3 linked regions of the Bombyx mori genome follow. The protein of the gene in region 1 purifies or fractionates together with the protein of each later gene. This does not show direct contact. Links are inferred from orthologs where the notes say so. Each region holds a gene or a part of one and is shown in the gene's direction. Other genes may lie near its edges.

The links.
Region 2: the proteins of pre-rRNA 2'-O-ribose RNA methyltransferase FTSJ3 (region 1) and ribosome biogenesis regulatory protein homolog purify together in Homo sapiens (affinity purification with mass spectrometry; 3 studies listed by BioGRID and IntAct, counting the BioPlex papers as one, with this or other methods). This does not show direct contact. The link is inferred for Bombyx mori from reciprocal best matches to the Homo sapiens genes FTSJ3 and RRS1.
Region 3: the proteins of pre-rRNA 2'-O-ribose RNA methyltransferase FTSJ3 (region 1) and uncharacterized protein LOC101741314 fractionate together in Homo sapiens (co-fractionation; 3 studies listed by BioGRID and IntAct, with this or other methods). This does not show direct contact. The link is inferred for Bombyx mori from reciprocal best matches to the Homo sapiens genes FTSJ3 and NOP2.

The regions. Positions count from the first base shown.
Region 1 is NC_085116.1:7,757,558-7,768,100, forward strand, and holds pre-rRNA 2'-O-ribose RNA methyltransferase FTSJ3, read left to right. Parts: upstream 1-706; 5' UTR 707-1,411; coding exon 1,412-1,478; intron 1,479-1,658; coding exon 1,659-2,416; intron 2,417-2,502; coding exon 2,503-2,652; intron 2,653-3,414; coding exon 3,415-3,525; intron 3,526-3,708; coding exon 3,709-3,870; intron 3,871-5,281; coding exon 5,282-5,489; intron 5,490-6,074; coding exon 6,075-6,353; intron 6,354-7,232; coding exon 7,233-7,427; intron 7,428-7,538; coding exon 7,539-7,738; intron 7,739-7,843; coding exon 7,844-8,281; 3' UTR 8,282-8,339; downstream 8,340-10,543.
Region 2 is NC_085123.1:3,055,456-3,067,032, forward strand, and holds ribosome biogenesis regulatory protein homolog, read left to right. Parts: upstream 1-4,859; 5' UTR 4,860-5,263; coding exon 5,264-5,412; intron 5,413-5,536; coding exon 5,537-5,809; intron 5,810-6,040; coding exon 6,041-6,260; intron 6,261-6,643; coding exon 6,644-6,906; intron 6,907-7,031; coding exon 7,032-7,185; 3' UTR 7,186-7,238; downstream 7,239-11,577. Other genes in the region: DNA excision repair protein ERCC-6, read right to left, coding at 914-3,724. UniProt on the Homo sapiens protein: Involved in ribosomal large subunit assembly. May regulate the localization of the 5S RNP/5S ribonucleoprotein particle to the nucleolus.
Region 3 is NC_085116.1:6,473,978-6,485,554, forward strand, and holds uncharacterized protein LOC101741314, read left to right. Parts: upstream 1-5,339; 5' UTR 5,340-5,495; coding exon 5,496-5,595; intron 5,596-6,306; coding exon 6,307-6,483; intron 6,484-7,054; coding exon 7,055-7,233; intron 7,234-7,576; coding exon 7,577-8,941; intron 8,942-9,242; coding exon 9,243-9,448; intron 9,449-9,994; coding exon 9,995-10,343; 3' UTR 10,344-10,438; downstream 10,439-11,577. Other genes in the region: peptidyl-prolyl cis-trans isomerase H, read left to right, coding at 10-186, 269-562; coenzyme Q-binding protein COQ10 homolog A, mitochondrial, read right to left, coding at 750-1,215, 1,861-2,016, 2,131-2,195. UniProt on the Homo sapiens protein: S-adenosyl-L-methionine-dependent methyltransferase that specifically methylates the C(5) position of cytosine 4447 in 28S rRNA. Required for efficient rRNA processing and 60S ribosomal subunit biogenesis.

The DNA.
Region 1 (10,543 bases):
TATAATTTCGACTGTGTAAAAAAGTTATTATAATGTATACCTATATTATCTCTTGAAAGATAAATAATGAACATATTTACTTATTTGTTTATATTACCTATGTGAACTCCCTATCTTTTTTATACCTTCATAACGATAAGTAGGAGGATGGAAAAAATTTATTTGGTCTAACTTAACGCCAATGCACATTATTTCATTTATTTATTTTTTAATTTTTTTAATTAAATTGTATACCAATTAATTGCTCCTTCAGGATTTATATTTGTTTTTTTTTTCACGATTAAAACCGCGTAGAAAGTTTAGGCATTATAGTTGACACATGCGCAGTACACATATTTTGCATACATTTATTCAACTAATAAAAATAGTAAATTAAACAAAAAACGAGTAATTTCGAAAGAGAACAAACGTGTTTTATATAAGAACAATCGAAAATGAATATTTACGAGTCATTAAGGATGAAAAAATATTAAAAATTGCATTAGAGGGGCTAACTTGTAGGTATATTTTTAAATATTTTTTTTAAATAAATAAATGCAGAACAAAAAATTATTAACAGTGAACAATCATGAACAAATGATGAACAAACGAATTAATAGAAAATAAGTATAAAATAGGAAAAAAAATTTTTTTTGAGGGGCTAACTTCATTCACCTGCGGTCGACCATCTATAAATATTTTTTGGTATGCTCTCTACGCTACTTTTTTTTTTATTTTTTTTTATTGCCTTTGTAGGCAGACGGGCATACGGCCCACCTGATGGTGAGTGGTTACCGTCGCCCATGGACTTCAGCAATGCAAGGGGCAGAGCCAAGTCGCTGCCTACCGCTTAATACTCTCCACAAGCCTCGTTTGAAGAAGGACATGTCATAGCGCTCGGGAAACACCGTGGAGGGGAGCTCATTCCATAGCCGGATGGTACGTGGCAAAAAAGATCTCTGGAAACGCACTGTGGATGACCGCAGCGGCTCCAGGTAGTATGGATGAACTCTACTCCGGTGGCGGGCGGTGCGATGGTAAAAACGAGATGCTGGTATCATCTCAAACAATTCCTCAGAGCACTCCCCATGGAACATACGGTATAAAATACAGAGGGAACCGAAGTCCCTCCGCAGACCCAGCTACTTGCATTATTACAATTAGTTGAACAATCCATAAAATTTTCTTCAGGTACATCAAATGTAAAAAAAGCCGATTTTAACTTAATGACTTGAATGATTGTATGTTCGTGCAGCACATAATTGAAAAAAAAAACTCTATGGTATGAAACACGAGAAAATAAACATAACCTCACTTGTACACACACTCGTAATGTGCATATTGCATTCAATTTTGTCATGTAATTGATTATAATCAATTGTTTTTAGAAATAACCCCAGAAGTCATATGCTTAAAAAAGTAACATACTACAATGGGAAAGAAAACAAAAGTAGGAAAACAACGGAAAGATAAATACTACCAACTAGCTAAAGAAACAGGTACATCATTTTTAATTTGCATCATTTATAACATCTAATTACTTTGATAATTCATCTGATTAAACCGAAATACTTTTAATATGTACATCTACTGATTAGTTCAGATATAGGGCGGCGATGTAGGTGTATATATATTTATTAGAACGTATATTTATATCGAAAAATGTATACTTCTTTCAGGATATAGATCAAGAGCTGCATTCAAATTAATACAATTGAACAGGAAATTTGGATTTTTGCAGAAATCACGAGTATGTATCGATTTATGTGCTGCACCTGGTGGGTGGATGCAGGTGGCCCACCAAAATATGCCAGTCTCGAGCATAGTAATAGGAGTCGATTTGTTTCCAATAAAACCAGTTCCAGGTTGTATAGGTCTGACTGAAGATATCACTACAGAAAAATGTAAGGCAGCAATCAAAAAAGAAATAAAAACATGGAAAGCTGATGTGGTACTTAATGACGGTGCACCCAATGTCGGTCTTAATTGGATCCATGATGCCTATCAACAAGCTTGTCTAACGTTGAGTGCTTTAAAACTTGCAACGAACTTCCTCAGAGAAGGTGGTTGGTTTGTGACTAAAGTATTCAGATCGAAAGACTATCATGCACTTTTATGGGTTCTGAAACAATTCTTCAAAAAAGTACATGCTACAAAGCCCCAAGCTTCTCGTAATGAGTCTTCTGAAATTTTCGTTGTATGTCAGGGCTATATTGCACCAGATACAATTGATCCTAAATTTCTCGACCCCAAACATGTCTTTGAAGATCTTGATATAGTTAAAAAACAGCATATAAATATATTACATCCTGAGAAACAAAAAAAAGCAAAAGCAGAAGGATATAAAGAAAATGATTATACCACACATCATAAAGTAAAACTGTCTGATTTTTTGGGAAAAGATGATCCAGTAGATCTACTTCATGGTTGCTCTGAGGTAAAATGAAAATTTGATTATTGCCATTTAATTGTTTTACTATGTTTTTTTAAATAATTACATAACTACTTTCAATAATGTTGCAGATTGTTTTCGATGATAAGGAAATAGAAACTCATCCAAAGACAACACCAGAAATAAAGGAATGTTGTAAGGATATTAAGGTGCTTGGACGAAAAGACTTAAAATCACTGCTGTCATGGTTCAAGCAAATGAAAGAATATAAATCGTCTAAGGTTAGAATTTTATAGGATATAATCACAAATTAAATTTTTGCTTACAGAGGCTTATTATACTTATTACATGGGGATACCTCTCAGACATTTGTATTTTGGTGGGTAAAAAACTCTGTCACGAGGATTTGATTATGAATAAGAAACTGTTTTTCATTTGCATCTTAAATTAGTACATCATTGAATGTACACTCAAATCAAGTAATATGTCTATGGTGTATAGTAAAGGAGCAGCTCTTTGCAAATCAATGTCCTCAAGTCCCCTGTAGTTTTATTTTGTCTGTAGGTGGAGAGATTTTATTAACACTATCCCTGCTCATCTAGGAAGTTAGCTTTGGGAGTGAACTCAAAGAGGGATGCTTGTTATTGGGAATATTTGTAGGTTCTAATTATGTTTGTAGTTTGTAGTATTTTATCAAGTATATACATACTATACTATACAAAGTTTGTAAAATGTAGTTAAGGTGTACCTTCTAAATGAATACAGTAAGAAGCAACTTGCCTGTTCCCAAGGTATGGTTATATGCTTATGGTATTCTGTCTACAAAAGCAGTTAACATCTACGAACAACTTCCAAAGTATTGAGTAATACAAATGTAGCTTGTTGAATATATACTATGACAATAAACAAATGTCCCAAAGTGGATGTGGCCGTATACATTGTGGTGTTTGATAAACTACTTTAACCACTTAACACTAGGTAATTTAAGAGCTAGCAATAGAGTATTGAAAGCACTAAAGATTAAAAACTAAAACTTATTTTAGGAGAAAAAAGATGATGAGCCCCAAACCAATGATGAAAACGAAGAACATGAAACAAATGAGGATGCTGATACTGAAGAAGGTGATGTGGACACACAAATTGCAGAACTGCAGGTACTAGATTGGGACTGTTTATACTATACTATGTATGATCTGTGACTTTTGCTAAGGAATCTTTTGTTGATTTAAAAAGTAAATTAATACCACATTAAAATAAAAGACAAAAGCATTTTCCATTGTCACTTATTATTATGAACAGGGGTAAAATAATAGTCCAAATTTAATAAAATATTCCAGGATGAAGAGAAGCGACAATTGAAACGTAAAAGGAAGCAGTTGAATAAACAGAGACAAAAACTAGCTGAAAAAATGAATCTTAAGATGGTATTGAAAGGAGATGATGGTCCTATTTTGGAAAGTAATGATATGTTTCAACTCTCTGATATCAAGAATGCAGAGGTATGTTTTTTTAACTACTTACTATAACTACATGTTAAATTCAGAACCAATTTGGTGCATCTCATCAAGTGTATAAGTTATTAAGTGTTAACATTTAACAAAAAAATTGTAGTAATGTAAATTAAATGTCTCACTAACAAACAAGTATCTATAGTAAGACCCTGCTTAATGCAGGGTGTAAGTTCCATCAAAGTTTAGTGTAATACAAAACTGTTAAACGAGACTATCTCATCATAGAAATAATGGGGTTAGGGGAAAATTGTACAGAATTGGTCAGGTATTTAACCGTTAAAATTATTAATTATTTTATTAAATAATATTATATTATTCATTAATAATATTTGTATAACAGTAAAACAAACATTTATTTCTTACTATAATAGAAATATAATAAATGAGTATAATATACATATACTGGTGGTAGGATCTCTTGTGAGTCCGCATGGGTAGATTTTTTTTTTTTTTTTTCTTAGATCCGTGGACTAGCTCACAGCCCACCTGGTGTTAAGTTACTGGAGCCCATAGACATCTACAACGTAAATGCGCCACCCACCGCGAGATACAGTTCTAAGGTCTCAAGTATAGTTACAACGGCTACCCCACCCTTCGAACCGAAACGCATTGCTGCTTCACGGCGAAAATAGGCGGGGTGGTGGTACCTACCCGTGCGGACGCCCAAGAAGTCCTACCACCAGTGAAAATCACGACCCTGCCTATTTCTGCCGTAAAGCAGTAATTCGTTTCGGTTTAAAGGGCGGGGCAGCCGTTGTACTGTTAAAAGTGAGACGTAAGACTGTTAAAAGTAGGTGGCGCTATTTAGTTGTAGATGTCTGTGGTCTCCGGTAAACACTTAACACCATGTGGGCTCATCCACCCATCAAAAGCAATAAAAAATAGCATATAATTAATGAAATTCTAACTCAATATGTTTAAATTTCAGATCATTCAGTCTGTTCTGTATTTTTAATTTTCAGTCTTAAGAAAAATTCCAAATTTAATGCAGCAACAATTTGAGATTTACGTTCACCCTCATTTGCATTTTCGTTTCTTGTTAAATGCTTTTTCTTGTTGCTTCATTTTCAGATTTTTTATCACTCAAGATAAAAATTTAAAATAGTATAAAATAAAATAATAATATTTTTCACTAAGTAAATCATATTATATACATTTATACTTAGAATAGCATCAACAAATGTATGAAAAACGTTCGTATAACAACGTAGGAAAGAAGAAATACAGATAAACTGCTTCAGTTGTCGGGGAGCGTAACGCTGCGTGCAATTTCGAGGAATTCCACGATTCATATAAAAGAGCGTTAAGCTGCAACATGCCTTCTGTACTTATGAAAATGATGTAGTTAACAATTCACAACCTATTAAAAATATATTATATGAATTTTTTTATTGTCTAGGAACTGAACACGCTTATAGATCAGCAGCCTGACACCGTGGTTGATGGAGATGATGCTTTTGATGATGAGATTCAACTTAAGCCAAAGTACTTGAAATACGATGTTGAGGAAACCAAGCTCGATTCATCAGGACTTTATTACAAAGATTCAGACAGTGAAATTGAAATGGAATCTGATTCAGAATCTGAACAGGAAAAAGAGTCATTAGGTAAATTATTTTTAACACTGTGCCATAATTTTATTACAGATATCTTTGTTTATTTATTTAGACTTTTATTTTTACGATTAGCGTGGTATGGACATGTGGTGCGTACAGAGGAGATGCACGTTACTAGGAGATGTTTGGTAGTGCAGGGTAGAGGGGGAAGAGGCCGACCGTGTGAATGACGATATGGGAGAGAGAGAGAAGTGAGTGTTGATATGACGGCTGATACAAGAGAATGGAATAGAAAAATTCGTTGTGCCGACCCCACCTAGTGAGATAAGATGGAGACAAAGAAGATACTTTAATTTTTACTTTAGAATTTTATTTGGTGGTGGTTTGGAATCGATGTCTAAATAGTATTCTTATTCGGCGTTGTACTACTGGTATTATCGGTAGTATTCTAAAAAATGTATTATGAAATCTACTACAGATGTGTAAAGGTAAATTAACAAAAAAAGTTGGAGGTACCGGGGATATGCCATACCTCTATCCTCCAAAGAAAACTCAGACAAACTATTATCATTGTAACATTCTTTGAACCCAGTTTCATATCTAAGAACTATTCATTTACTTATTACATTTTTACAGCCTTCTCAGACTCAGACACTGAATCGAAAAAGATCAAAAAATTAACTAAATTGAATACTCTAAAAAACAGTAAAGTGAGTCCAGCAAACAAATTGAATAGATTACAGTCTATTCCAAAGAATAACCCGTTGCTCACTGATCTGGACAACACTGACCCAGTTTCGAAAAGGACTATGAAAGCTCAGCTATGGTTCGAGAAAGATTCTTTTAAAAATATTGATGAAGAAGCTGATGAAGGTATAGATTTGGACAAGTTAACAGAAACATTCAAGGAAAAAGGTCAGTGTAAAAGCTATTTACAGATAGACTATTTATGACATAACTGCTGTGACTTATAGACTAAATAAAATATTCAGAGTGCCGAGTATGACCGGTGTCAATAGTCATTACTGAAGAGTTAATTTATTTTTTTTGTGCCTTTTATTATTTTACATGCTTATCTATAGAGGCAGCAGTAGAGAGTAATGGACAGGCTTTCAGAGCTCTCAAGACTTACGGTGATATAATGAGCAAATGGAAGGGTGAAAGGCTCTTGGGTTTAAGCGATATTTTTGCATCTTTATAGGAGAGCCATTTAAAGTTTAAAATTTAGGAAAAATATAATAAAATAAAACAACTTCTTTAGCTATTTGAGTGAAGTAAACTGAATTGAAGTTCAATTAAAAACATCGTATTGTTGATGCTAATACCAAATAAAACCCACGTTTATTTACAAAATAAATATAGCGTATTAAGCGAAATGTCGCTTAAATCAAATGGCCTTTCACCATTTTTTTGTTGCATATATGGCTGGCCGAGCTCATAGCCCGCCTGGTGTTAAGTGGTTAACGGAATCCATAGACATCTATAACGTAAATGCTGCCACCCACCTTGAGATATGAGTTCTATGGTCTCAATATAGTTACAACGGCTGCCCCACCCTTCAAACCGAAATGCATTACTGCTTCACGGCCGAAATAAGCGGGGTGGTGGTAACTACCCTCACACACACACAGGACTCACAAGAGGTCCTACCACCAGTAATCTCTCAATGTCGTGTTCTAAATACAAACAATTTTTAAGTGATTGAATAGCGTCTTTTCTTTTCCGAAAGCCCTTTGTAGACAAGAAAAATATGTTTTGAGAGTTAATCTGAGTTAAGTGTGTGATTTTACATAGGGAAGAAAGTCATTGAAGATGTGGAGTCAAGTAAACAAACCAGTGCACTAAAAAGAAAATTGTCAGACAACGAGAGTTCAGATGATGATTCCTCTGACAGTGATTATGATGTTGAAGAAAACGTTACTCCCAGTGCTTCTAGTGCTGGGCCAAAAGCCGGCAAAGAAGGTTTTGAAGTTGTCTCCCAAGATCCAGGTAAGCTAAGCAAGATTTTTTAAATTGCATAAAGAAAATTCTCATCAAATAAACGAGGATACTGAATTGTCTGTTAAAATTGTGTTCAATCAGCTTCAAATTTATTTACAGAACTGAAAAAACTAAAGAAAACTTTGAAAATGGACGCAGAGACACTTGCTTTAGGAACCATGATAGCTACATCAAAAAAATTCAAGAGGGATTTAATTGATGACGCGTGGAATAGATACGCGTTTAACGATAAAAACTTACCAGATTGGTTTATGGAAGATGAAAAGAAACATATGAAGAAAGACATTGTGATACCGGAGGTGAGCAATAATGGATATACTTAAATAATTTGTGCAAGTAAATATGTATATCAAAACATGATGACAAACATGTACATTAAAATTCATCATTTTATTTTATTACAGAAGTATACTGATGAATACAAGAATAGATTACAAGACATCAATGTGAGGCCTATCAAGAAGGTGATTGAAGCCAAAGCGCGGAAGAAGAAGCGCTTGATCAAAAAGATGGAACGTGCAAAGAAAAAAGTCGAGGCGGTAATGGAGAACGCTGATATGTCCGAGCGAGAGAAAGCACAACAAGTGAGACAACTTTACAAGAAGGCACAATCTGATGGTAAAAAGAAAATCACTTATGTGGTGGCCAAGAAACATACAACTGCTAAGCGTATGAAGAGACCACAGGGCGTTAAGGGCCAGTACAAAGTGGTAGATCCGCGCATGAAAAAGGACTTACGTGCCCAAAAGGCAAAGGAGAAAACAAAAGGTCGAGGTAAAAAACAACCCAAGAAACAAAACAAGCCTAAAAAAGTCCCCAAAAAGAAAGGAAAAGCAAAGTGATCACTTGTGTTGTTAAAACAGAAATAAAAGTTTCTTTTATAAATTTATTATTATTTAATTGATTTTTTATTCTGAACCTCGAAACTAATCTCGAAGGCCGAAACGGTAGCAGTAACACACACCTTAACGTAAATAGAATGATCATTTACGTGCCCAATCTAATTTCTGGACCCAATGTAAAGGACGTAACGCTCATTATGTATTGCATAAAATTTTAAACTATTTAACAATTATTTTTAGCTATCGATTTTCATTCACCAACACCTATTACCTGTTACCTATCGTTTTTGGGAACATTTCTCTACACCCTCTTTAATACATATAGGGTGTTATCAATTTACTTTAGTGCTGGATGAATTATGTCAATTTAATGTAGATTGATTTATGTTGACCCTTGGTAATTGTATCAGGGTGGCTAGACCCATTAGCTAGCATTACAGAGATTATTTTTACTACTAAGGTCAGGGTTGATATTCGAATCCACGTGCGTCATTCGGCGGCGAGTTCAGGGACAGACATGCTATATAAATGATATCATTTCGTTTTGTGGCCTTGGTGTCTAATTCTGATTCGTTCCAACTACGCCGTCTGCCTACTAATGTTCTTTAGTGATTTTGCGAAGGATTGATTCGTATCAACAAATATAATTTTATACCCATTGTTTTAGTGTGCACAATAAAACAAAATAACCTTCCCGCCAGCAGACGGTTAAATAATTTCTCGTTACTTCCCAGTCATGACCTTTACCGATATTCTGTGGAAAATTATTAATAAATATATTGAAATTATTTGCTGACATGTTTAGTTCTGGTTTTAAACTACAACATTGAATAGTTATTCACCGGTAAATAGGCTCTGTTCTGTTTTACTTTGGAAATTAATTTTCACGGTCTTTATTAAAAGTTTTTCTTAAAAATGGAAGAGAGCGAAGAAGAACAGAAATTGTAACATGGGATGAGTTTGGAGGCCTTGAGGGGGTGTTATATGGAGGCAAACGGAGGGTCGGCAGCGCTATATCGAGCGCACGATCACGGCCAAGGCCGCTCGCCGCCGACGCGCTACCGACCGTTCCGTGCCCTCTGCCGCCCAATCCCGACCACTTTACTACATATCAACAAAATATCTTAATAATATTAGCATATCTATACTAACTAGGGGTGCCCCGGTAGTCGAATTTCGACTATAATTAATTGAAATTATAAGTTATAAAGACTATTATTTTACTTCCTATAATCACAGGTTTCGCGAAGGCTACATAATAGACAAAAAATATTAATCTATTCTCAATTTGACCACAGACTTGGAACAATAACTAAAGTTTGACAATGAACGAAGAGTACATGGTACGTGGTAGTATGTGTCATGTTTCTTTTATTGATTTAATGTATTATTTAGGCATAATTTAAAAAAATATTAACATTCTGCACTCCTTCTCTATAGCTCTCTAAGTGTGAGAAATTTCATGCTCCTCCGTCCACGCTATTTTCGTAAAAAGGATACAAAGTTTATCCTTCACGTATTAATATATGGATATATAAATCTACAGTGGTTTTTACGGATGTTCCGTTATAACTACTGAACCATGCATCCGATTGACTTAAAACTTGGTATCCATGTAGAAAATACATGTACTTAATGGATAGGCTAATATTTATGAGTGTTGGACTCCCTAATAATAATGACAATAAATAATAATGGTTAATTTAAATGCCCAGCGAAGCGGACGAGTACGGCTAGTTCGCATTTATATGCCTAATTATATTTCAATATATTTCGAATATACTAATATTATTATTAGTATATTCGAAAGTAGTTGTGGCCTAAAGGATAAGACGTCCGGTGCATTTGTGTTGAGCGATGCACCGGTGTTCGAATCTCAAACGGGTAATAATTTTTCTAAGAAATATGTACTTAACAAATGTTCACGATTGACTTCCACAGTAAAGGAATAGCATTGCGTAATAAAAATTAAACCCGCAAAATTATAATTTGTGTAATTACTGGTGGTAGGTCCTCTTGTGAGTCCGCACGGGTAGGTACCACCACCCTGCCTGTTTCTGCCGTCAAGCAGTAATGCGTTTCGGTTTGAAGGGTAGGGCAGCCGTTGTAACTATACTGAGACCTTAGAACTCATATCTCAAGGTAGGTGGCGGCATTTACCTTGTAGATATCTATGGGCTCCGGTAACCACTTAACACCAGGTGGGCTGTGAGCTCGTCCACCCATCTAAGCAATAAAAAGAAAATCTCTATTATGAAAACT
Region 2 (11,577 bases), on another chromosome or scaffold:
TAATGAATTTAAATACATATAAATAATAGTTTTAGGGCATCGACTTTCTTGAGATCCTATAAAATACGTTTTAATTATTATTTTTGTATGTTTTAAGCATAATAAATTATGAAATTTTATATAATCAATCATATTAAATCGATATCAAAGTCAATAAATAATGTACAACCCAAAACAGACGGCCGAACTGACGTGACAATGACATTTGGCGCGCTAAACATGGCGGATTTTCGGCCTCATTAGACGGAGACGGAGATATTTACGTATATTCATGTTTCATTTTATGTACGCACTGAAATACTGTTATATTGTTTTCCTGCGAGTTAAAGTGCTGAGTAAGAACGAGATAGATATATGTTTATGTATGTGCCTTCAAAATGGGTGCTATTTATATAAGCAATTGTACGTATAGAACAATATGTCGTGTCCCTACTATATAGGTCTATGAATTAACTGTATTAAAAGATAACCTAGTAAATCAAGAGCTTTGTGACCTTACTAGATTGAAATCTAATTGATTACTCATCCAATTGGTTTATTTTCATAAAAAAAATTACTTAAAAAACATCATTCATAGAATTTTTGTTACAAACACATCTTCCATAACAGGGTTCCCATCAATCCCCACCATAAAAAACTGACTAACACTAAAAATACAGTTTTTACTATATTTTCAATATAATATCATAGACATTGCTTACACGAAAAAAAAACTGGATTTCCAAATTTTAAATTATAGTATCAAAGTGGCTTCAACAATGACACTTTAGAATACTACAAATTCATTTAACAAGGCAATGAATGAAATTACAGTTTATTTATTATATCAATTAAATTTATTAATCTTATAAATTACTATTTTACTTAGGCGGTAAAATATTGAAATATCACAGATGTAATCATTTTTATTACATTATTTTGATGAAAATTTAACAGCTCTAACCGCATTGCGAGCTCTTTTAGCAGCTTCTTCTTTCAATCTATGTTTTTTTTCTCTTTCAGCTAAACCAACTACCACATCATGTTGTAACGCGTTTTTCACTGCTGCTTTAGCAAAAAGTTTGTTTAACACATAGTCATCATCATTAGTTTGTTTCTTTACTTCATTTTTACTATAATCCTTTTTCTTTACTTTCTTTACAGTTACTAAATTTTTGAGTCCATCATCAATGGAAGATGATAATCTTCTTTTGCGCTTTATTTTATGTGATTTTTTATGCTTTTGTTTAATATCTTTTACAGTACTTTCATTAGTTTCAAGTTGAGAGTTGTCAATGTTGGTAGGTTTCTCTTCATCTACTTCTTTAATATCTTGTTCATTATCTTCTAGTACACTTTTCAACAATTGTTCTTCATAATCTTTCTTTGCATGCATTTTTACAATATCTAATTCTGACAAAACATCTTCAAAAGCTACATTGGTTATTTTATCATCAACTAAATTAATATCTGGTTCTTCCACTTTAGGTGGACATAATAATTGTTCTCTTTTCTTTTTATATTCTTCACGTGGATCACTTTCCTGTGTTCCCTTCATGGATTCTTTTGATATTTTTTTACTTATTTCTTTTGCTAATCTTTTCATGGCTTCTAACTTTGTTTTAGATGAAATATCCAAGTCATTATCATTCTTATTGGTTTTATTGATAATTTTGGTATGTTTAAAAATTGATGCAGTTTCAGTATCTCCTTCACGGTTAAGCTCTTCAAGAGTGAACAGTCCCTGTAATGTACTGGTGGTTAAAAAATTCTTTTGATTTGGGTCCACAAAAATTTTATTACTCAAGAAATGTTTGAATATCTGCCTCTGATAAATCTTTTCCTCTATAGTCCCAGCTGACAACAATCTATAAACTGTTACATTTCTAGACTGGCCTATCCTCCATGCTCTTTCCTTTGCTTGATCATCTGTTGCAGGATTCCAATCAGGATCATATATTATCACTCTGTCGGCTCCAGTTAAATTTACACCTAAGCCACCTACTCTAGTTGTGGAAAGAAAAACTAAATAATCAGTGTTATCATTAAAAGTTTTAATCAAGTTTTGCCTTTGGCCAACATTAACTGTACCATCCATTTTGAGGTATGTAAAGCCTTGATTTTGTAAATACTGTTCTAACAGACACAGCATTACTCTTGACTGAGAGAATATGAGAGCTCTATGTCCCTGTTTTTTCCATATTTTAAGTAATGAATTAACAACAGTCATTTTTCCAGATCTCTTCCAATGGCCAAATATCTCTTCATCTATCTGTTCTTCATCTTCTTGAGCTTCGTAGAGATAAATATCAGGATGATTGCATATTTTCCTTAGCGTTGACAGAGCCACTAGTAGCCTCGCTCTTAATGGATTTCCAAATTTATTTTCTTTGTCTAAGATGCTTCTCACTGTATTACTCATAAGGTAACCCATATAAAGATCTCTTTGCTCTTGTGTTAAAGAACAGAATAGAACTTGTTCATTCTTTTCTGGGAGTTTGATATGTCCTTGTACCTCAGCCTTAGTTCTCCTCAGCATGTAAGGAGTGATCATATTTTTCAAAGCAATAGCTATTTCCATGGCAGTAGCTTCCTGTATTTCAGTAGCATTAGCATAGCCTCCTTGAGTGATTGGAACTGCAAAGTGTTCTATGAATGCATTGTATGTCCCCAACAAACCTGGCCTCATAAAATCAAATAATGACCACAGTTCCTGCAAACTGTTCTGCATTGGTGAGCCTGTTATTAACAATCTGTGTGGTGTCTGGATTTTTTTTACAATTTTACTTACTTGTGTATCAGGATTACGTATTTTGTGTCCTTCATCCAAAATTAAATAATGCCAACTATAAGCATTAAGTTCTTTATGATACTTTACTATGCCTGCATATGTTACTAACAAGATTCCATGAGCACTGTGTATATCCCTTAATAGTTTATGGTGATTACCAGCATGAGAGCCAGTGTGATGCAGTACAGCTACTCTGAGCAGGGGGCACCAATAATGAAAATGAGATACCCATTGATATATAACTGTTGCAGGTGTGATAATGATACTCGGACCAAGACCACCCCATGATCCTAAATTGGTTTTTGAAAGGGCAGTTAGGAATGCAATGACTTGTATTGTTTTACCAAGTCCCATTTCATCACCTAACAATCCACCAGAATCCACTTGATGCAACTCCCAAAGCCATTTAACACCAGTTCTTTGAAATTTATATAACTGTTTCCAAATATATTTTGGTACTAATAGACCATTCTGGAGTTCATGCATTTCATCGCTATCTTTATTACCATCCAGGATGTACTGTATGTCAGCGGTTAACGTGCATCCTTCATATGTACCGCTTTTCACAGTATTTAATCCTTCACGCCAAACCTCTACCCTTAAATTGTATTGTTTAATATCACCGTCGTCAACAATTCGGTTTATATTCTGTTTGGTACGAGAAGAACACGCAGTAAGCGGAAAATTATGGATACTGTCGTCTTCCTCATCGGAAGGTACAAAATCGATGTCATCGAGGTGTCCTTCAGTTGAAGTCCCTGATGTCACAGTAGTTTTTACATCTACTTTTTGATTGTGGGGAAATTTTGACAGAGTCTTTGCCTGTTTTTGCGATATGTAATCAGCAGCAGATTTGCTTTTAGTTGATACATCTTCTTTCTGACTATTTTTCCTCTCAATTTGCTTTTTCGCTAATTCAAGTTGCATTTCTAAATATTTGTTTATGTCCACCATTTGGGTTAGTTTTAGTTCTTGACATTGAAATTCAGTTTATTTAGGTAATGTATTTATTGCTTTTTGTACACAATAATAAACTAAACTCAAATATTAAGTGTTTAATCTTTAATTTAACAAGTTAATCTTACTTAATCTTAAGTTAACAAATCCTACGAGCATTAGAATAATTAAAACATTTATTTTAATTGAAAATGTCAGTTAAGCGATATTTTTCTTTTTTTAGAGTTTATAATGCTACGCTAGTTACGCTACAATTTAAGTGTATAATCTATGGCTACAATCATAGAGCTAGAGTTGAACTTATTAACTCCATGGCTAATATGGCTATAGTACGGTATTCCTTCCTACTCTGCGTCAAGTCGGCTCTACACTCGCGGCGCGAACGCGACAACTGCGAATTCACGAGTGTAGATGTTGTTCACGCCTTCTCGTTCGCGCGTCGCTCCCCGATCTGTGTCGGTTTTATGGCCCGCGACAAAGGGTTTGCGGCACGCGAACGTGAATGTATCCACACTCGCAGCTTACCGCAGTAGCGTACAGGACATCGTAGAGTGGTTATGCGTGCGTTGGTGATTGATCCTAATATAAATGGTGGAATAATGATCTGGAACTGACTCTCATTTATTGCCATAAACCTAAGCCGAAACATCAAGACCACAAAAATGAGAATAAGGTTCATGATGCCTGGACACGCATAAGTGCTATCTTAAATACACCTGTAACTGAGTCAGAGTTAAAGAAAAATAAAGAATCACTTAAGTCGAGCTATAGATTGTATAGAAAGAAAGTGAAGTGTATGTAGAATACACAGCAGCAGCAGAAATCACGTCGTCGTCGATCATAATCGCGAACAAGGCTGAGCTGTGAAGCTTTGTGAGTGTGGAGGGACACAGTTCTGGCGCAGATCATGGTGTTTCTTCACAGTGCGACGTCATACGCGAGTGTTGAGGCAGAGTTACAGATTATTAAAAAGTTACTATGTAACGTTTATGTTTATGTCTTATCTATCATTAAACCTTGGTAGAGGGCTATGCATAATACATTTCGTTTATACTTTATATCACTATACCTGTTCCTGTTTGGACATGCTCCATAATCTTCATTTATTAACTCGCTGGTGATACAAAGGGAACGAAGCCCCTACACCTTTTAGTTACTGTACAGTACAGTGATGCGCGGTAATAGAACTGAATACATAAATATTTATAGATTATAAAATAAAAATGAACTTGAGTTCCATCGTTTCAATATATATGTATGTACATAAAAATTCTAAAATAATTATTCTACGTGCATAGATTATCTACTACAATAAGCTACCAATATGATGACATGTGTTAAATATTTATTATCTATGCCAGAGTTCAAAACGTGGTTGCCCAGAAAACTACGAAATCATAAATATATGTAATTAAATTGTAAAAAAAAAATACATTTTGAGGTTATTTTTCAACAAAAGTAAAGCAAGGAAAATATTAGCTCAAGTCAAATAAGCTTGTTAATTCTAATGTGTAAAAAGGAAGTGTTCTGATAACAATGGATATTGTAAATGAGATATTAGAAAGGGAACAAAAGAAAGCAGATAAATATAAACCAATAACGGTCGAAAAACATTTGGAATTAGAATTCGACCTAGGTTCACTATTGGCCTCTGACACAAACGATTTGGACATAAAAACGCTGAAGTAAGTCTTCATCTTATCTCATTTTAGCAAACGCATAGTCACTATTAATTTCAGGATTAAACATAAATTTAGTTAACAGCACATGTTTTGTTATCAAATTAAATTGATTTTATGTGTTGTTTAGGACAAACAAAGATTCATATTTACTTGCATTGACCCGTGACAATGCTCAGCTACTACTGAATAAAGTATGGGAGCTTCCCACTGAAAGAATCGAAGAGGCCATAGTAGTTCGATTGCCACAACCTACGACAATCCTACCCCGAGCCAAGCCAGTGCCTGTACCTAAGCCATTAACTAAATGGCAAGAGTTCGCAAAAGCCAAGGGTATTAATAAGAAAAAGAAAGACAAACTTCAATGGGATGAACAGCTGCAGAAATGGGTTCCTTTATATGGGTGAGTTTTCAATAGTAGAATAATGAAAGTTGTCTAGAAAACTATAAACACAAACCATAAAAACCTTATTTACAAAAGTTTTTAGGCAGAAATTAAAAATTGATATCATCATTTTAAAATCTGTATTTTATAGTCAAACCAATAGCCAGGATGTTGTAAAACACATTGTCCGTTTATTATTGTCGGCAATCAACTATATCTATAATTGACTATATAATTCTGTATCATCAGTTTCAAGAAAACTGCAGCTGAAAAAGAGAAGAACTGGCTTATAGAAGTCCCACAGAATTTAGATCCTATGACAGATATGTATGAAAAGAAAGCCGGTGAAAAATCAGAAAAGGTTGCAAAGAATGAATTACAGAGACTTAAGAATCTCGCTAGAGCCAAAAAGGTTAAAATACCAAGGGTGGGGCTTCCTGTCACTTCAGATAAAGCTTCTGCCACACAGGTAGGATCAAGTAGAAAAATATATATTGTACTGAATTATAATTTTTCCTTTTTCAGTTTCAAATTAGACATCTTATACAATGATAATAGTATACTTTAATAAATACATGTCTAATTCAATGAAAGGACAATTTTCCTTTTTCTATTCTAGATGATCTCAAAGTAGCATACCTGATCTTTCTTACAGCCAAGCAGCATTTGCTGTTTGTAATTAAGTTAGAATTAGATATACTACAACTTTTTAACTGTTGCAATTTTATTGCTAAACTATTACATTCATCTTGTTTTGCTTATCCATTACATTATTGTTTAAAGATAATAATTTAAATGATTTTATAAATATATGAATGCATAAATCTACAATTATTTTTCATAATTTTCCAGTTATCCACAGCAGCAAGTGTAGCAAAAGCATCAACGGCTTCTCTTGGAAAATTCCAAGATAAATTACCCAAAGAGAAAGAAGCACGCGGTAAAGGTGTACATGAGCTAATCCCAGGCAAGGAGAGGAAACGTAAAGCACCTATACCAACACCGGCAGCAGAAAAAGAATACAACCTGAATCTACTTGATAATATACTGAGTAAGAGGCCAAAAATTGATATGGATAAAGCTGTAGCGAAAAGTATAAATGAAGAGGAAGTCAAGTAAGTAAATTATTTTTATTTTATTGTAAATTTGAAAATGATATAATCAGAATTTTTTTTTTAAAGTTTTTATTTTATTACTTCGAAGTAAATGAGCTGATTTCTATTGTTTGTATTATCATTAGGAGATCACACGAAAAGAAAAATATGAAACCCGGCTTAGGAAAACGTAAAACTCAAGGTAAAGGCAATGCAACAAATTTCTCAGCCAAGAAACCTAAAGCAGGAAAGGGAAAAAGGGCACCAAATAAGAAATCTACTGGACGGAAAAGGAGATAGAACTATGATATAAGCCTTACAGAATGTATTACTAATAAAAACTAAAATACTGACACTTGTTTTTTTGTTTTCCTTAACTATTAATAAAACCCTTAAAAATGAGGCGTTCATTGTTTTAAATCGAAAAATATGTTTGGTTTTGAACGTAACAAGAGTGAAGTCGTCGTGGCCTAAAAGAACAAGGTGTCTCCAATACTCTCGTATCGAGTGATTCTCGTCGAAACTGTCGCTTGCGGCGCAGGGCTAGGCGAGTAAATTAACCCACAGACACAAGTCACAGAGTTTCTCGTCGGATCTTTTCGCGTCGCGGGTCGTTTCCGGGTCGCGTTTCCGATCCGGCGGTAGGTTCTGCGAAGCACTGTTCTGCACTGAGTGATGCGACTATGCCAGTGTTCGAGTCCCGCAGGCATGTACAAATTTTTCTGATGAAATAGTTACGTACTAACCTAACAAATGTTCATGAATGCTTCACGATGAAGGAATATCATCGTGTAATAAAAATGAAACCAGTTTGTGTAATTACTGGTGTGAGGCCGTCTTGTAAGCCCGCACGGGTAGGTATCACCATCCTACCTTGGTTTGGAAGGTAGGGTAGCCGTTGTACTTAAAAATTGAGACTTCGAATACATGTCCAAGGTGGGTGACCGCATTTACATGCGTAATGTCTATGAGCTCCGGTGACCACTTAACACCGGGTGGGCCGTGAGTCCATCCATCCAACTTAGCAATAAAAGAAATTAAAAAAAAGCCAATTTCGAGGTATCTACTATACTAATATTATAAAGCTGAAGAGTTTGTTTGTTTGTTTGAACGCGCTAATCTCAGGAACTACTAGTCCGATTTGATAAATTATTTCAGTGTCAGATAGCCCATTTATTGAGGAAGGCTATAGGCTATACGCTAAGACCAATACAAACGGAATACCAATAAAGAATGTTTCTAAATCGTTTTTTTCTTTCTACGTAAATGAAGTCGCAGGTAAAATTTCGATGCCTCCAATGAACACTACGCTAACTCTAAATTCATAGATTTACAGGAGGAGCGTTTAAACGAAAAAAGTCGATAAAATCTTTATTATTGCAGATATATTTATGGTTTTTTTGTGTAACTAGCTGATTTACTCTTGCTTCGAACCCCATCAATAATGATTAATTGTAATACTTTTAAAATAGTGAAGCGATTTGCGTGAAAAACGAAAATTTCAAAATTTTCAGTTAGAGTAGTGTTCATTGGAGGCATCGAATTTTAGCGTTGTGGCAAAGTAACTATTCCACGCGGACGAAGTCGCGGACAAAAGCTAGTTTGGTATGAAATTCATTAATATAGAAAGAGTCAGGATATTGTTTTTATTTCTCTAGACAGTTTCGAAGACTATCCGACTTAGTTTTAGGCCAATACTGGAGCCCGCACTCTACACAACTTCAACTATCGGTCTTGAGCCGTAAATCCGTAATTCAATCTGTCATCTACATTACTTTACTGGCATGTAACTAAATTTAATTATAATCTAACAAAGACAGCACCTCCAAAATTACCTTGTTTGGCCAACCATACACATTTAATAAAATAAAAGTCTGTATTTTTTCTATTGCTTTAATTACATTTGTTTCTATGGAATTTGACTAGACACTAACGAAGAATTAAAAATCTTCACAATCAACATTTAGAAGGAGAAGGTAAAATTTGTAATACTGTAAATCAGTTTATAACCTACATAATTCGTCGTTAAGCGTACCTACTTATCTACATCAAATTCTAATTATAATAAAGTTTATTAATGGAAGCTTCTAATGTTTAGCTACTTACTACAAACCCGTGTTTTCAAATCTTTTGGACAGTCATAATAAACTATAACATAACTCATAATAAAAATGGAATCGCGTAATTAGTCTACCGGTCTTAGCGGTTCATAGAGGTTCATAGAGTTCACAGATTAAGGTTATGAAGGTACATACAGACAACTTCGTAGTTTCTTTTTCTCAAAAGTAAATTGTCAATTCCCCAACTTGATTAAGTTACATTTAATTTACCAGCTGCTGGTAAGACATTGGTTCAGAGCCCGCCAGATTTATTGTTAGTGCCCTGTCTGTTTCTACCGAAAACCAATCATGTATTCATGAAAAGCGTCATGAGGTCAATGCAAATAGGGAATTGTCACGGAATCTTAGTTCTATTGAACAAAAAAAGTCGGACTTAGCAACACAAATACGTAGCTTGTATTGGATCCTGCAGAAATGTAGATGATCTTTCAAACTGTCTGTACCTACTTCTGATTTTTCTCGACTTTATTTTGTTGATGAAAATTCATCTCTATTAAACCCTATTAATAAACATGTCCAAAATATTTAAAAACATTATAATATTATAAATTTGTACAATAATTTCTATATGTAATAACTAGTATTGCTATTCTTTTCACTACAACTATTTTCACTATAGATAAGCGATCGTCACAAAATAGGATTTTTGTTTATAACTATGATAATAATTTATATTAAAATGTTATAGAATTAACTAGTTTCGATTAGATCAGAATCGGTAAATAAGAAGGCAGCACTATTTAGCATGCATCGGTTTAATGTAAAACACTAATTTAAAAAAATTGGTCAATTTTTTTTTTATTTTTATTAGACGCTAATATGTAACTTTACATAGTGTTTTGGGATGTTGGCAGGGGTTATGGCAATGGCAGGACGACTAAGCGAGCGTCGCTAGGGTGTCGGTAGATGTCACTAAGCGACTAAAGTCTCCCTAAATATTATAGGTTTTAAATATACATTAAAAGCCACAGTGATACAGACAAAGCCACAGAACGTAATAATAATCAGATAAATTTAATACAATAACTGATTTCTATTAAGTCTCTCAATAATTACACCTGTAATAGGGCGATTGATTTTCACATCAATTCATACACAATAATAACCATTCGAAAAATTACTGTTCAAGGGTCATGAGTTATTACTTCACTAAAATGACACGTTAACACTAAACATACCTTAACGGGTCAAATGACCCATTTTGAACTTTTGCATTGAAAATGCACATTTTACTTCATGACTTTTTCTTATCTACAGTTATTGTACATTATTTTTTTGTTTTGTTTATTTTGAGTAATACTTGTCGTATGCCGTTATCTACCCGGTATGGTAGACATAGGTACCAGTAAGTGTTGGTATGATTAGTGATAGTGGTATGATACGTGTCGTTTATAGTTTATTTGGTAAATGAACAGAAAAGGGTGGAAAACGACGAAAACAAAACAAACATGATATCGCACATACGGTGCTACAAACAAAGTCACTTATGCAATTTTTGTTAAAACTGAACTGAGTATGAGAAAATACATTTTTTAATAGTTATTAGTGAGACGAGATAGATTTTTGCTTTTACTGATGAAGTTTGTAGTTCATTTTATTTCTATAGCCTAGCAGAATTATATAATACGATGTTGAATTTTCCAACGTTTCTCCTGAAAAAAATACATAATTTACATAAGTGACGTTATCGCACGTATGTATATAAACACTAACATAATAGTTATACTAAATAAGACGCGACAACTAAACCGTCTTCAAACCGACACATATAAAACTTTGCAGCTCCAATAAGAGTTGTTCGCTTACCGATTTTCATTTAATCTGATATTTATAGTAAACTTACAGTAGAGGAAGTAATTCATACAATAGGAATGTTCGAATTGAAATTATTGGCACATTACGATTTCACACAACCTTGAAGACCTAAATATAGATTAACTAAAAATTTGTAAACTTAACTAACTTTAAAATATACAGAACCATAAAGTAATAAAGTTAAATTAAAACTTTTAACTTTTAAACTTAAATGCTATGAGATCGTATCGATTTAAATTTAATACAATTTTAATATAATTACACACGGTGTAAATATATTACTAATAATAATTATACAATTTAGAAAATGAAAATATGTAGATTAAGTTTGTGTTGCACATTACGAACCCTGTTTTAATTTTATGTTTAATTTCGTTTTTAGTAAACTATTCTGGAATTGTTTTTTTACTAAATGGAATATACGAGTATATATTTTTAAAAATGGAACGTGGGTATTGGCTGGCTTGACGATTAATTGCCTTTGCTTTTCAAAACAATACTGACTAGTGTCCACGCATTACAAAACGAATACCCTCGATTCTATTATCAACGGTAGCGTAAAGCGCTTTATTCACGTTCCATCTTGCTGTCAATCATCGAACGCACGGGCCAGAAATTAACGACATCTCTGGAATCGAGGGAAATCACCTACATTGACGGCGATGGGTTGTCATTTTAAGAATCGAATTTTACTCCAATTCTCTCGATTGTTGCCAAAATATCCGTTTGTTGTCGGACAAATAACCAGCTCGTAGGG
Region 3 (11,577 bases), about 1.3 Mb from region 1:
TTATTTTAGGAAATAGGTCGTATGATATTCGAGTTATTCGCCGACGTAGTACCAAAAACTAGTGAGAACTTCAGAGAATTTTGTACCGGTGAATACAGGCGGGATGGTGTGCCCTTAGGTTACAAAGGAGCTACTTTTCACAGAGTAATAAAAGATTTTATGATTCAGGGTGGCGATTTCGTAAATGTACGTATTAAGTTTTGTTTATGATAAAACGATGCCTAACTGAACATGATGGAAGTTTATTAATATTTACTATTCATTTTAGGGAGACGGTACAGGCGTTATGAGCATATATGGTGGAAGCACTTTTGCAGATGAAAACTTTGGTTTGAAACATGACTCTCCAGGGTTATTGTCCATGGCAAATAGTGGTAAAGACACGAATGGCTGTCAGTTCTTTATCACATGTGCAAAATGTAATTTCTTAGACAATAAGCATGTAGTATTTGGTAGAGTTATAGATGGATTACTTGTCATGAGGAAAATAGAAAATGTACCAACAGGACCAAATAATAAACCTAAAATACCAGTAACAATATCTCAATGTGGACAAATGTAAATAAAACTTCACTTTAAATTTTATCTTTTTATTATCATTAAATCACAATGGCTCTGCCTCACATTTCTAACAGACTAATAGATAAAATATAATATTCACAAATTTTTACATAAAGTAATCACAATAAATACTCAATAATTATGTACACTGAATTGAACTAATTTTTTTGGTTTGCAATTAGTAAGCGTCAAGTTTTCAAAGTGTGATTGTTTATTAGTAACTTTCTAGGCTGCATTGTTGCCGGCCCATTGCGCCTTCCGACTTCTTTAATGAAAGCACCTTCCATTTGTCGAGCAACTTGGTCAAAAAACAAATTAGATAAATGTGAATGTATAGCTGATCTAAATTCGAATGTTATCTGGAAGTCCACAACACACGACTGCTGTTCTCTTTTTAGACCAGGACTGAATCTCCAAAGGGTCAACATATGGTGGAAGAGTCTTCCATCAGAACACTCTGCTTTTACCAAATGTGGTTTGACTAGCGTAACATTTGAAGTGTAGCTTTCATTGATAGGAGGAAAGCCAATGATCAAGTCCGCCTTCAGGTTTCCTGGTGTTTCTTTCAAAACTATAGACTTTTTGCACCACGGTAGGAATTTGTTGTAGCTTCCTACATCTGATACAACTTCAAACATTTGCTCCATTGTGTAGCTGTGAAAATAGATTTATATGAAACTAGATTCCATTTTAAGGTATACAGTAATGGATATAAACAAAAATAAAGATAATGATTTACTGTTAGGCTATTAATCCAGCTATGATTAGTTCATACTAAATATAAAAACGTGTTCGGCACTTAAATTGTACAAATTTTTTGTACATTATTTATAAGGATAAACAAGTAGCCTTATAGATCTCACTAAAAGACAACAGCAATAATCATAAGGAATATAAAAATATTGAGCTACATTATAATATGTCTATCTAAGAGTACATCTCTAAATCCTTTCAATTAATATTAAGCAATTACTAGAGACCTTAAACAACACATGAATACAGCTACTTTGAGACAGTCACAATCATACCACTTTTGGTTTTAATGGTTGTTTAACCTTTTAAATTAGAGAGAAGGATTGCTTTGTGGCAAAATTAGCAATACAATATTCTCTACCACCAGTAATTACCTATGGAAATATTTAGATGTTGAAGAGCAAGACGGGGTGAAGTGGAGACAACTTGTAAAGACCCTATGTACCAGCGGAGTACCCTAGGAGTACAACAACAGTGGGTGTCCCATCTTAAGATCACAGTGACTAAAATTTATCAACAGTTTAATTGTTATTTTTTTTTACTCACCCAACAAGTTGCCTTCCAGTATAAACTCTTGTTTTGTTTGTTATTGGCAGGTTTATAAAACTACGATTTTGTTGTTGAATGCCTTGGCAATGACATAGTGCACTACCTTGTCTATTTACGTAATGACCCTGAAAACTATAGGAAGACAAGAGTTTCCTGAGAAAATATTTAAGATAAAAGAGTTATGCATTATTGTAATCGATGAAAACTCTTGGAAATTCATAAATAATAAGAAATTAAAATAAACAACAAATTCTCAACGTTAGTTACCTGAAAACTACATTTTTCTTGCGAAAAATGTATCGCCCTACGGCACAACTTTGAGAGATAATCATTGTATTAATTCTAATAGTGACTAAAGCATTTATTACTGTTTATACATTTATATTTAGTCATTTTCAAGGGAATAGTTGCACTCACACTGATTGATTTAATACTTTGCAATTTATTTCACGCGTGTAGTCAGTTTTGCTAAATTGTGACGTCACGTCAATAATAATCAGTTGTCACTGCCAAATTTCCTAGTAGTAGTCTACTTTTCCAAGTGGAAGGTAAAAGTATCAAACCATATAGCCTAATCTTAACATTTATTTTATGAAAAATGATAATATTAAATGAAATGAAATGAAGTTGATTGATTTGGAACACTAATCAATTGGCATGAAATTAAATGAAATGATATGGGTTGATATATAATCTCAGTAAAATGGTGGTTATTTACTAAGATTTTTTCAGTAGGCTTTTTGAAGGATCCCGAGAAGCTACGCAAATTAATTTGTACGGTGGCTTACTAACTTAAAAAAACTAAATAGACACATTAAAACAAATAAAAAATGTGTGCGTGTACTAGTGTACACACGTAAGAAGTGAAACTTGTTTATGGCCTTATTTTTCGAAAAATGATCTACATGCAACTTTCTAGAAATTGGTTAAATAAAGTTAAATTAGATAAAGTTTAAACAAAAGGATTTTATTATCATAGACATGAATACAAAAAAGTTAAATTAGATAAAGTTTAAACAAAAGGATTTTATTATCATAGACATGAATACAAAACAGATGGCGCGTAACGGAAAAAAGTGACGCGTAACCGAAAAATGTGACGGTAAATTTTTTTCCAACGCCGATAAGGAAGTTTCACTTCAAAAAGTCTCGGCAATCCAATAGTAGTAGTACCTAGTTCCATTTTTCCAACTAGAAAACCGAAACTATCACACCATACAGCCTAAGCTTTGTAAATAGTGTTATATGAAAAATTATATTATCATGGAGCGAAATAAACTGAAGTTCAGTTATCCAATTAATCAATTGGGATGAAATTAAATGAAACAAGTAAAACAGTGGTCATTTACTGAGATTTTTTGAGAGATCCCGAGACGTTAGGTCCTGGGAGTTTGTTACATTTTCTCACTTTGTGCACTTTCATAGATTCTAATTAGTTAATAAACCACTTTTAATATACGTTTAAACAGGAAGAAACACAAAATTAACAAAAAAAAAGTGAGCAGTCACGGGACGCCTGGCAGACGTGAAACATCGACATTATTTGGTAAAATTAATATGCAGAAATGAACAGATTGTGATAGGAACTAAATATGTCATAATGATAAAATAAAATCTATCGAAAAAATAATTTGTTTTCAAGTAAAACACAGGTTATGGGTACTGTAGTAAACAAAACTGTATACACTACGGAGTATACACTATAGATATCTGAGAGAGATGGCTTAACGCCGGATCGAGTGGGAGAGAATCGCACAGTCGATTGCGCATGGCGACGTGTCGCCACGCCAGAAATCGGTTTTACGTGTGGCTATAGATGTTTCACATCAAAATAAAACAGTTCACACAGCTTTACTCCTCGCGTTCCCATCAAAAAGTCCTACCAATGCGATATTACACAAAAAAACAAATAGATAATTTTTGTTTTGTTCATTGCATAGGCGCCATGGGCAAAAGGGCAATTTTTGATGTAACGATCAAAGTTGTGTAGTTTGAAATGTTAAATAAAACTGACTGAAAATAAAATTAAGAAATCAAAGTAAAAGAAAACATTTACCGTAGAATGAGCAGCAATGTCCTCTGTAGGATTTACCATCCAGGATTTACTATTTAGTCCATTTACAATATATAATGATTGAGTTTTTGACTTTCTGTTGCATGTAGCATTTTAACTATGATACGGGTTGGGATTTTGAGTTCCGGTAACTATTGCTTAATGCCCCATATATTAATATGCATTGATAATTATAAACCATAGAAAGAAATATAACGTGTGACTGTGAATGGATAAGTACCGGTAAAATGGGGCGATTAGGGATTGAGAGGCGAATCGGGAAAAAACCGGGAAAATCTTTCGACGCTCAATATAAGTTTTATATTCGTTTCAAAATCTTCCATTTTTTGTAGTTTAATAGTAGAATGTTGAAAGTTCACAAAACAACTCTGAATATGCATGATAATAGCTGCTAACTTATAAAAAATCGCGTTTCAAATTAACTTCCTGTGGTGGTAATTATTTTAGTGCTAGAAACTTTGCTCTCTTTTATTTATTTGATAATAATAGAAGACGACTATGATTTATAAACGTTATTTAGTGTTTGAACCAGCATATATATTAAAAGTAAGTCTCAGTTGTTATTGGTTTTAATGTATTTGATTAAATAAAAATACATGTAAAAATCTGTTGTTTTTGGGGATATTGGGGACGTCTTAGGTACAAATAACAACGAAAAAGGGGTCAATTGGGATGAGAATACGTGAAATGGAAACTACCTAAGTATAAATAGGTACAGGTTTGTAGGGTTGTCTATGTAGTTATAACAATATTTTTTATATTTGTTGGTAAAAATCTGGTTTATTCGAAGCGAAATTGGGAATAAGTCTTTATTTGAAATAGATAAGCAATTTAATATAAGTAAGTTGATTTTGCAGAGACATGTAACAAGATTAATGAAATCTCAAGGTGGACAAAAATGTCTAAGTAATACTTAATAAAATATTTAATATTTGTTCAGAGTGGGGGTATTCATCTGATTAATCCATGGAATAACCGACACACCTAATCTCTTAACCCAGATAGAAATATCAGCACTGTCGATTGCACCAATAATTGAGGTGATGTCTGCCATGTACTTTTGTCAGTTTTTCAATTTTTTTTATTGATGATCACTTTGTTGGTGCAATTAAATAAATAAATAAATTAAAACTATATATAAAAATAAAAGTAGTGCCAACCCTAGCAAATTTCTCATTTCGTCCCAATTAACCGCAATTTTCGGGTAAATAGGGATTACACCTATTTTTGCATTTTTTGCTTAAACTGGAATGCTAGTTGCATAATTTTAAATTAGACAACAAAAATGCCCCCAAGACTCAATCATTTTGATCCTGATATAGCATTATATACATCAACAACTACCTTAAAATTGCTCATAAAGTTGGAATTTGTCCCTAATCGCCCCATTTTACGGTAATCTGTAAAAATGACACCAACCCATAGATAATAAATTGAATGTATCAAAGTATCAATCAAAATATAACCTACCAGCACGTGTGAACTTTGCAGTGTTTTTCAAGTAGGTACATAATCAAGTTATTAATAATTAATTGAAGTGGAAAATTAGTTGTCGAAAATGGGTAGAAAAGCGAAATTTGATGAGACGAAAAAAGTGAAAAAAGGTCCTGGAAGGAAAGCAAAAAAACAGCCCGATCCAGTATTTAGAAAGGAGCTATGTGAGTATTCCACATAATCGTTTGTTACAAATCAACACAATCTTAATTTCAAGTTTATTACATTTTTAAAAATAACTAAGAAATTGACATTATTATCCACCACCCCGTTATTTTCTGCCAAAAATTCAAATCTACAATTTGTTCTCGAACTACGAACATTTCAAAATTATAGTTAGTTTAAATGATTAGGCAGTTCCCCAATTTTTACCCTAGCACTGCTTTTAGCATTGTGGATTATTTATTCAATAAATACTGACCATTTATAGTCCACATTGTCACACACATGTTGTATATTTGAGTCGTCTATTATCAAAGGTGGCAATCTGTGCATTTGGACAAAAAAATGTTATTGATATGTCAATACAGATTGATTTGAATATAATGGCTGAGCCTTTGCTCGCCCACCTGTCCTGGTGAAACTGGAAAGGCCTTCGGGCCACCAGTAAACTTTCAATCATGAATATAATCGTCTCCTTCAAAGAATACGGTTCAAAACCTGCATTAAATAAAGGTTAATACTTAACCTGTTATTTATCTAAGATGTCGTTCAGAAGAGTTTTCTGACTGCCAATGGAATACAAAGTCAATAATTCGTTTTTCTGATTTACCAATAATTGTCCAAAAGTCACAATGCCGGCTTTGATAATAGTCGACTCATTTATCACATGTCAACCTTTATATTTTCATAATAGTTTTGTTTTCCTATTTTAGTAGAGACTGAAGATCAGGTGAAAAAACTGACTCACAGGCAAAAGCAAAGGGCCGCAAAACGTGCCAAAAAAAAGGCTGAAATAGTTGAAAAAAGAAAAGCTATAAAACAAGGCAAGAAAAATGAAGCTAAAGAAATTGAGACAAATGACGAAGACATTAAAAAACCAGTTGTAAAAGGTAAAGCTGACCAATTAAAAAAAAAAATACATCTTTTTTTGTTTTTGTTTATTGCATAGATGGCTGGACGAGCTCATAGCCCACCTGGTGTTAATTGGTTACCGAAGCCCATAGACATCTACAACGTAAATGCCACCACCCACCTTGAGATATGAGTTCTAAGGTCTCAGTATAGTTACAAAGGCTACACCCCACCCTTCAAAGCATTTCTTCTTCATGGCAGAAATAGGCAGGGTAGTGGTACCTACCTGTGCGGACTCACAAGAGGTCCTACCATCAGTAAAAGTTCTTGGTTTTCTCAAATTCCTGTTTTTGAATGTTTGGTTGCTTGCTTTTTAAACCTCTATGATCTTATTGTGAGTAATGCAAAGGGTACCAGCTAACCTATGTTATTTTCCCATCTTCTATCTCCAGTTGTAGTATTTTTCCTTTAGTACTCCTTTTCTTTATCTTTGTTCTTTATTATTCTATTGTGTTCTATCATAGCTGTCTGAAGATGACTTCCAACTATAATTCGTGTAGTTAATGCACCCAAATGAAGCAATATAAAATGGTTAATGTAATATTCCAGGTTACTCTGATGACAACAAAGAATGGCTGAAACCAAAACAGAAGGTTAAACAACAGAAAAAACAAAAAGATTCAGACAGTGACATTTGTGATCAAGATGAGGGTTCAGAGATGGAGCAGGACTCTGAAGCTGAAAGTGAGCATGAAGAAGAAACAAAAACTGTCAGTGAAAAGTATAAGGTAAAACTAATCTTACAACTTTCTCCTAAATAGTTAATGAGTGCTATACATTGTAATAATACTGGTGGTAGAACCTTTCATGAGTCCGCACGGGTAGGTACCACCACCCTGCCTACTTCTGTTGTGAAGCAGTAATGTGTTTCGGTTTGAAGGATGGGGCAGCCGTTGTAACTATACTTGAGACCTTAGAATTTATATCTCAAGGTGGGTGGCGCATTTACGTCGTAGATGTCAATGGGCTCCAGTAACCACTTAACACCAGGTGGGCTGTGAGCTTGTCCACGCAATAAAATAAAGTAATGGTTTATCACAGAAGATAATTTGATTTGTTAAACACTTGTAGGTGGGAACTCTTGATGATCTATTCAAAGATTCTGATGAAGAGGAGGCGGATCCAAGTTCAGAAGAAGAAGGATCTGTAAATAGTGGCAATGCAGGATATAATTCTGATTCAAGTGAAGAAGAATCTGATGAGGATGGTGATGATGAGGATATGCTGCCTATTGAAAAAGCAAATGTGAAGCTGAAGAAGAAACAAAAGGAGGAAAAGAAATTGGCAGATGAGGAAATGCAATTGAATATATCAAAACAAGATGTTTTTGCTTTCCCTTCAGAAGAAGAGCTACAGAATCCTACCAGCCTTCAAGATGTACAACAAAGGATCAAAGATGTAGTCTCTGTTTTGACAGAATTTAATAGATTAAAAGAGGAAGGGCGTTCAAGATGTGAATACACAGACTTATTACTTAAAGATCTTTGTACCTATTATAGTTATAATGAGTTTTTGATGGAAGTTCTTATGCAAATATTTCCTGTACAAGAATTAGTGGAGTTTTTGGAAGCAAGTGAGATTGCTAGACCTGTGACGATAAGAACTAACAGTCTCAAAACTAGAAGAAGAGATTTAGCCCAGGCATTGATTAATCGAGGAGTCAATTTGGACCCAGTTGGCAAATGGAGCAAGGTTGGCCTTGTTATTTATAGTTCCACAGTACCTATTGGTGCAACGCCTGAGTATTTAGCTGGTCACTATATATTACAAGGTGCATCAAGTTTTTTACCAGTAATGGCATTAGCCCCTCAAGAAAATGAGAGAATATTAGATATGTGTGCTGCTCCAGGTGGGAAAGCGTCACATATAGCTGCTATAATGAAAAATACTGGTGCCTTATTTGCAAATGATGCAAACAAAGAAAGAACAAAAGCAGTTGTGGGAAATTTCCACAGATTGGGTGTAGTCAATGCTGTTATATGCAATTATGATGGTCGACAATTCCCTGAAGTTATTAAAGGGTTTGACAGGGTATTGCTTGACGCACCATGTACTGGTACTGGGGTAATTGCTAAAGATCCCAGTGTAAAGACTACGAAAGACCAGAAGGACATACAAAGGTGTTTTAATTTGCAGAGGCAGCTATTGTTAGCTGCAATTGATTGTTGTAATGCCAAATCAAGTACGGGCGGGTATATTGTGTACTCCACTTGTTCTATTTTACCTGAAGAAAATGAATGGGTTGTAAATTACGCATTGAAGAGACGAAATGTGAAATTGGTTCCCACAGGCCTTGATTTTGGAACTGAAGGTTTTATGAAATACAGGCATCATAGGTTCCATCCATCATTAAAATTGACTAGAAGATTTTATCCTCACACACATAATATGGATGGATTCTTTGTCGCTAAATTAAAGAAATTCTCCAATGTCATTGTAAGTTTTTTATGAAGTACCATCGTAATAATGACCTACTAAATTAACCTGAATTTGTTTTTTACTCTAAATGGTCTTACAGTCCATCTAATATGAATTTACACTGGGGACTTTGCCAATAAGAAATTGATGTCTCAAAAGAAGGGAAAGCTTTCTATTATTTCTTCTAGAAAGAATCAATTTAAAAGAAATGAGATTTTACAATAGTCTTATCAGTATAGTATAATTGGTGACTCAGTAGTAGTTCAAGAAATAGTTCCATTTTACATATTTAGTGAACTTTATTTTTATTTATTTTTAGCCTGAGGCAGTTATAGATGATGATGATAAGGAAACCGAAGGTGCAGATGAAGAAACAGTTGTCACAAACGAAGGAGATCAGTCTACAGATGCCATTTCTAATAATGTAACTTCCAAGGTCAGTGGCCCCCAGAAAAGAACTTTGGAGCCAGAGTCGAATATAGCTGAGCCACAAACAAAGAAAATGAAAGGTGAAAATGCAAAAAGGTAATTTTCAATTAATGTTTTTTTTTTTTATTGCTTAGATGAGTGGACGAGCCTTGATATATCAGTTCTGAGGTCTCAGTATAGTTACAACGGCTGCCCCGCCCTACAAACCGAAACGCATTACTACTTCACGGCAGAAATAGGCAGGGCGGTGGTACCTACCCGCGCGGACTCACAAGAGGTCCTACCACCAGTAATTACGCAAATTCTAATTTTGCGGGTTTGATTTTTATTACACGATGTTATTCCTTCACCGTGGAAGTCAATCGTGAATATTTGTAGAGTACGTATTTCATTAGAAAAATTGGTACCCGGGCTGGGATTCGAACCCCGGTGCATCGCTCAACACGAATGCACCGGACGACTTTATCGTTAAGGTCACGACGACTTCTTGATGTTAAGGGAAGTGTTGTTTTTAAAGCAGTGTTTATTTATTTATTATAAAATTACAAGTCTGGTATACCAATGTTATATCAGAGAATAGTACGAACTGTGTTAACATTGAATCATAGAAACAACTAGAAAACTTTGTTACCTTATTTTCAGTTCCACTGGAAACGCTGCGGTCAATAAGAAAAATAAAAATAAAAATAAGAAGGGACCTCAGTCACAGAACCTAAACAACTCAAATAGTAGAGTTCAGGGTAAAATGGGCAGTGCAGAAAAATTGCAAAACTCAAGAAAGCAGCAAGAACCCTCACTACATGGTCAAGGAAAGCAACATGAAAAGAAAAATAGTAAACTTGGTAAAAACAGAAAAGTAAATGGTCTGACTGAAAATAAAAATAAAAAGGCAAATGAAAACAAACCTAACAGTTCCAATCCAATGAAGACAACAAATAAAAAGCATAGTAAAATTAATAAAAATCACAGTAAAATCAAAAGAAAGGTTTGATAAACGTTTATGTAAGGATAGCATAAAAGAAAGTGAGAATTTATGTGCTATTTGACATATTATATTGGATTGTAATAAAGTTACTGCTATTATAAGTAATGGTTTTTCTTTCTACATGCATAATTATATCAATTTATGACATTTAAATAGGTATTAAACACTTAAAAAAACTGAAATATTACTTCATATGCCTCCACCTAATATTAAATTGATCTAATGGCTATAAATATGGCAAATTTCGTATTAAAATAACAAACCCTGAAAATCTTCGTAAATTTTTAAAAGGCTTAAAATAAATGTATGCCAGTGAATAGTGTAATTAAATGATACTAAAGTTAGTAGCAATTTTAATGCAGCAGCAGTTTTAAGTTCCTTTTGAAGATTGTTTTTATTTCAGATTTTTTGTTATTTGGTTTTATTTTTCTACGACACCATGTTTTTGAGATAAACCATGTCACTGCCACAACTGAGAGGAATCTAAGGAAACTTCGTATTATGTTGAAATCTATCAAAAGGTTTTTATTACAACAGAAGCACGTACATTACGTATCAAACAATTAGACTTACATACATAATAAATAATAATATAATAATAAAGCTTTCTTTATTCCATACAAATTAATTCATAATTAATTACAAGATGTTTCAATACCAGTAAATAAAAATATAACATAATTGACAACATAATTAGAACTTAACATGCAATAAAGAAACATATTCTCTCGTCAGTCTCCTAAACAAAATGAAGCTGTTTTCTAAAGCACGCCACAACGTATTGGGTTACTTTTCACGAACGTCTACGATGAATGAATTTGTGTAATTATTACTTGTGGCGAGACGCAACATACTGTAACGTAAAATTCACGTAGGTAATTAGTTTCCACTATTTGATATATTTTTGGCACTAAGCAGTTTCGCCTGTGGGTTTGTGGGTTCCGGAATGCACTTAGTTGGGTTGTGTGCAAGTAAAATATAGTAAATATTGTTGATTGGGAGTTTGACGTGTTAAACAGTCTTGACAAAATAAACTTGTGCTTTCGACCTATGGAGGGTAGAGGTAAGAAGCATCATCCCATATAGGGGACAAGAAAAGTGTTCACCTGTAAACACTTTATTGTTGTTGAAAACACAAGTTATTGTTGAAAAACTCCGAAATAGCGCTAGTGTAGGAAGCTGTACACATAGTAGTGTGCACATACAAGTGTGCTGGATTGAAGTTAAGTGCGATAGTTTA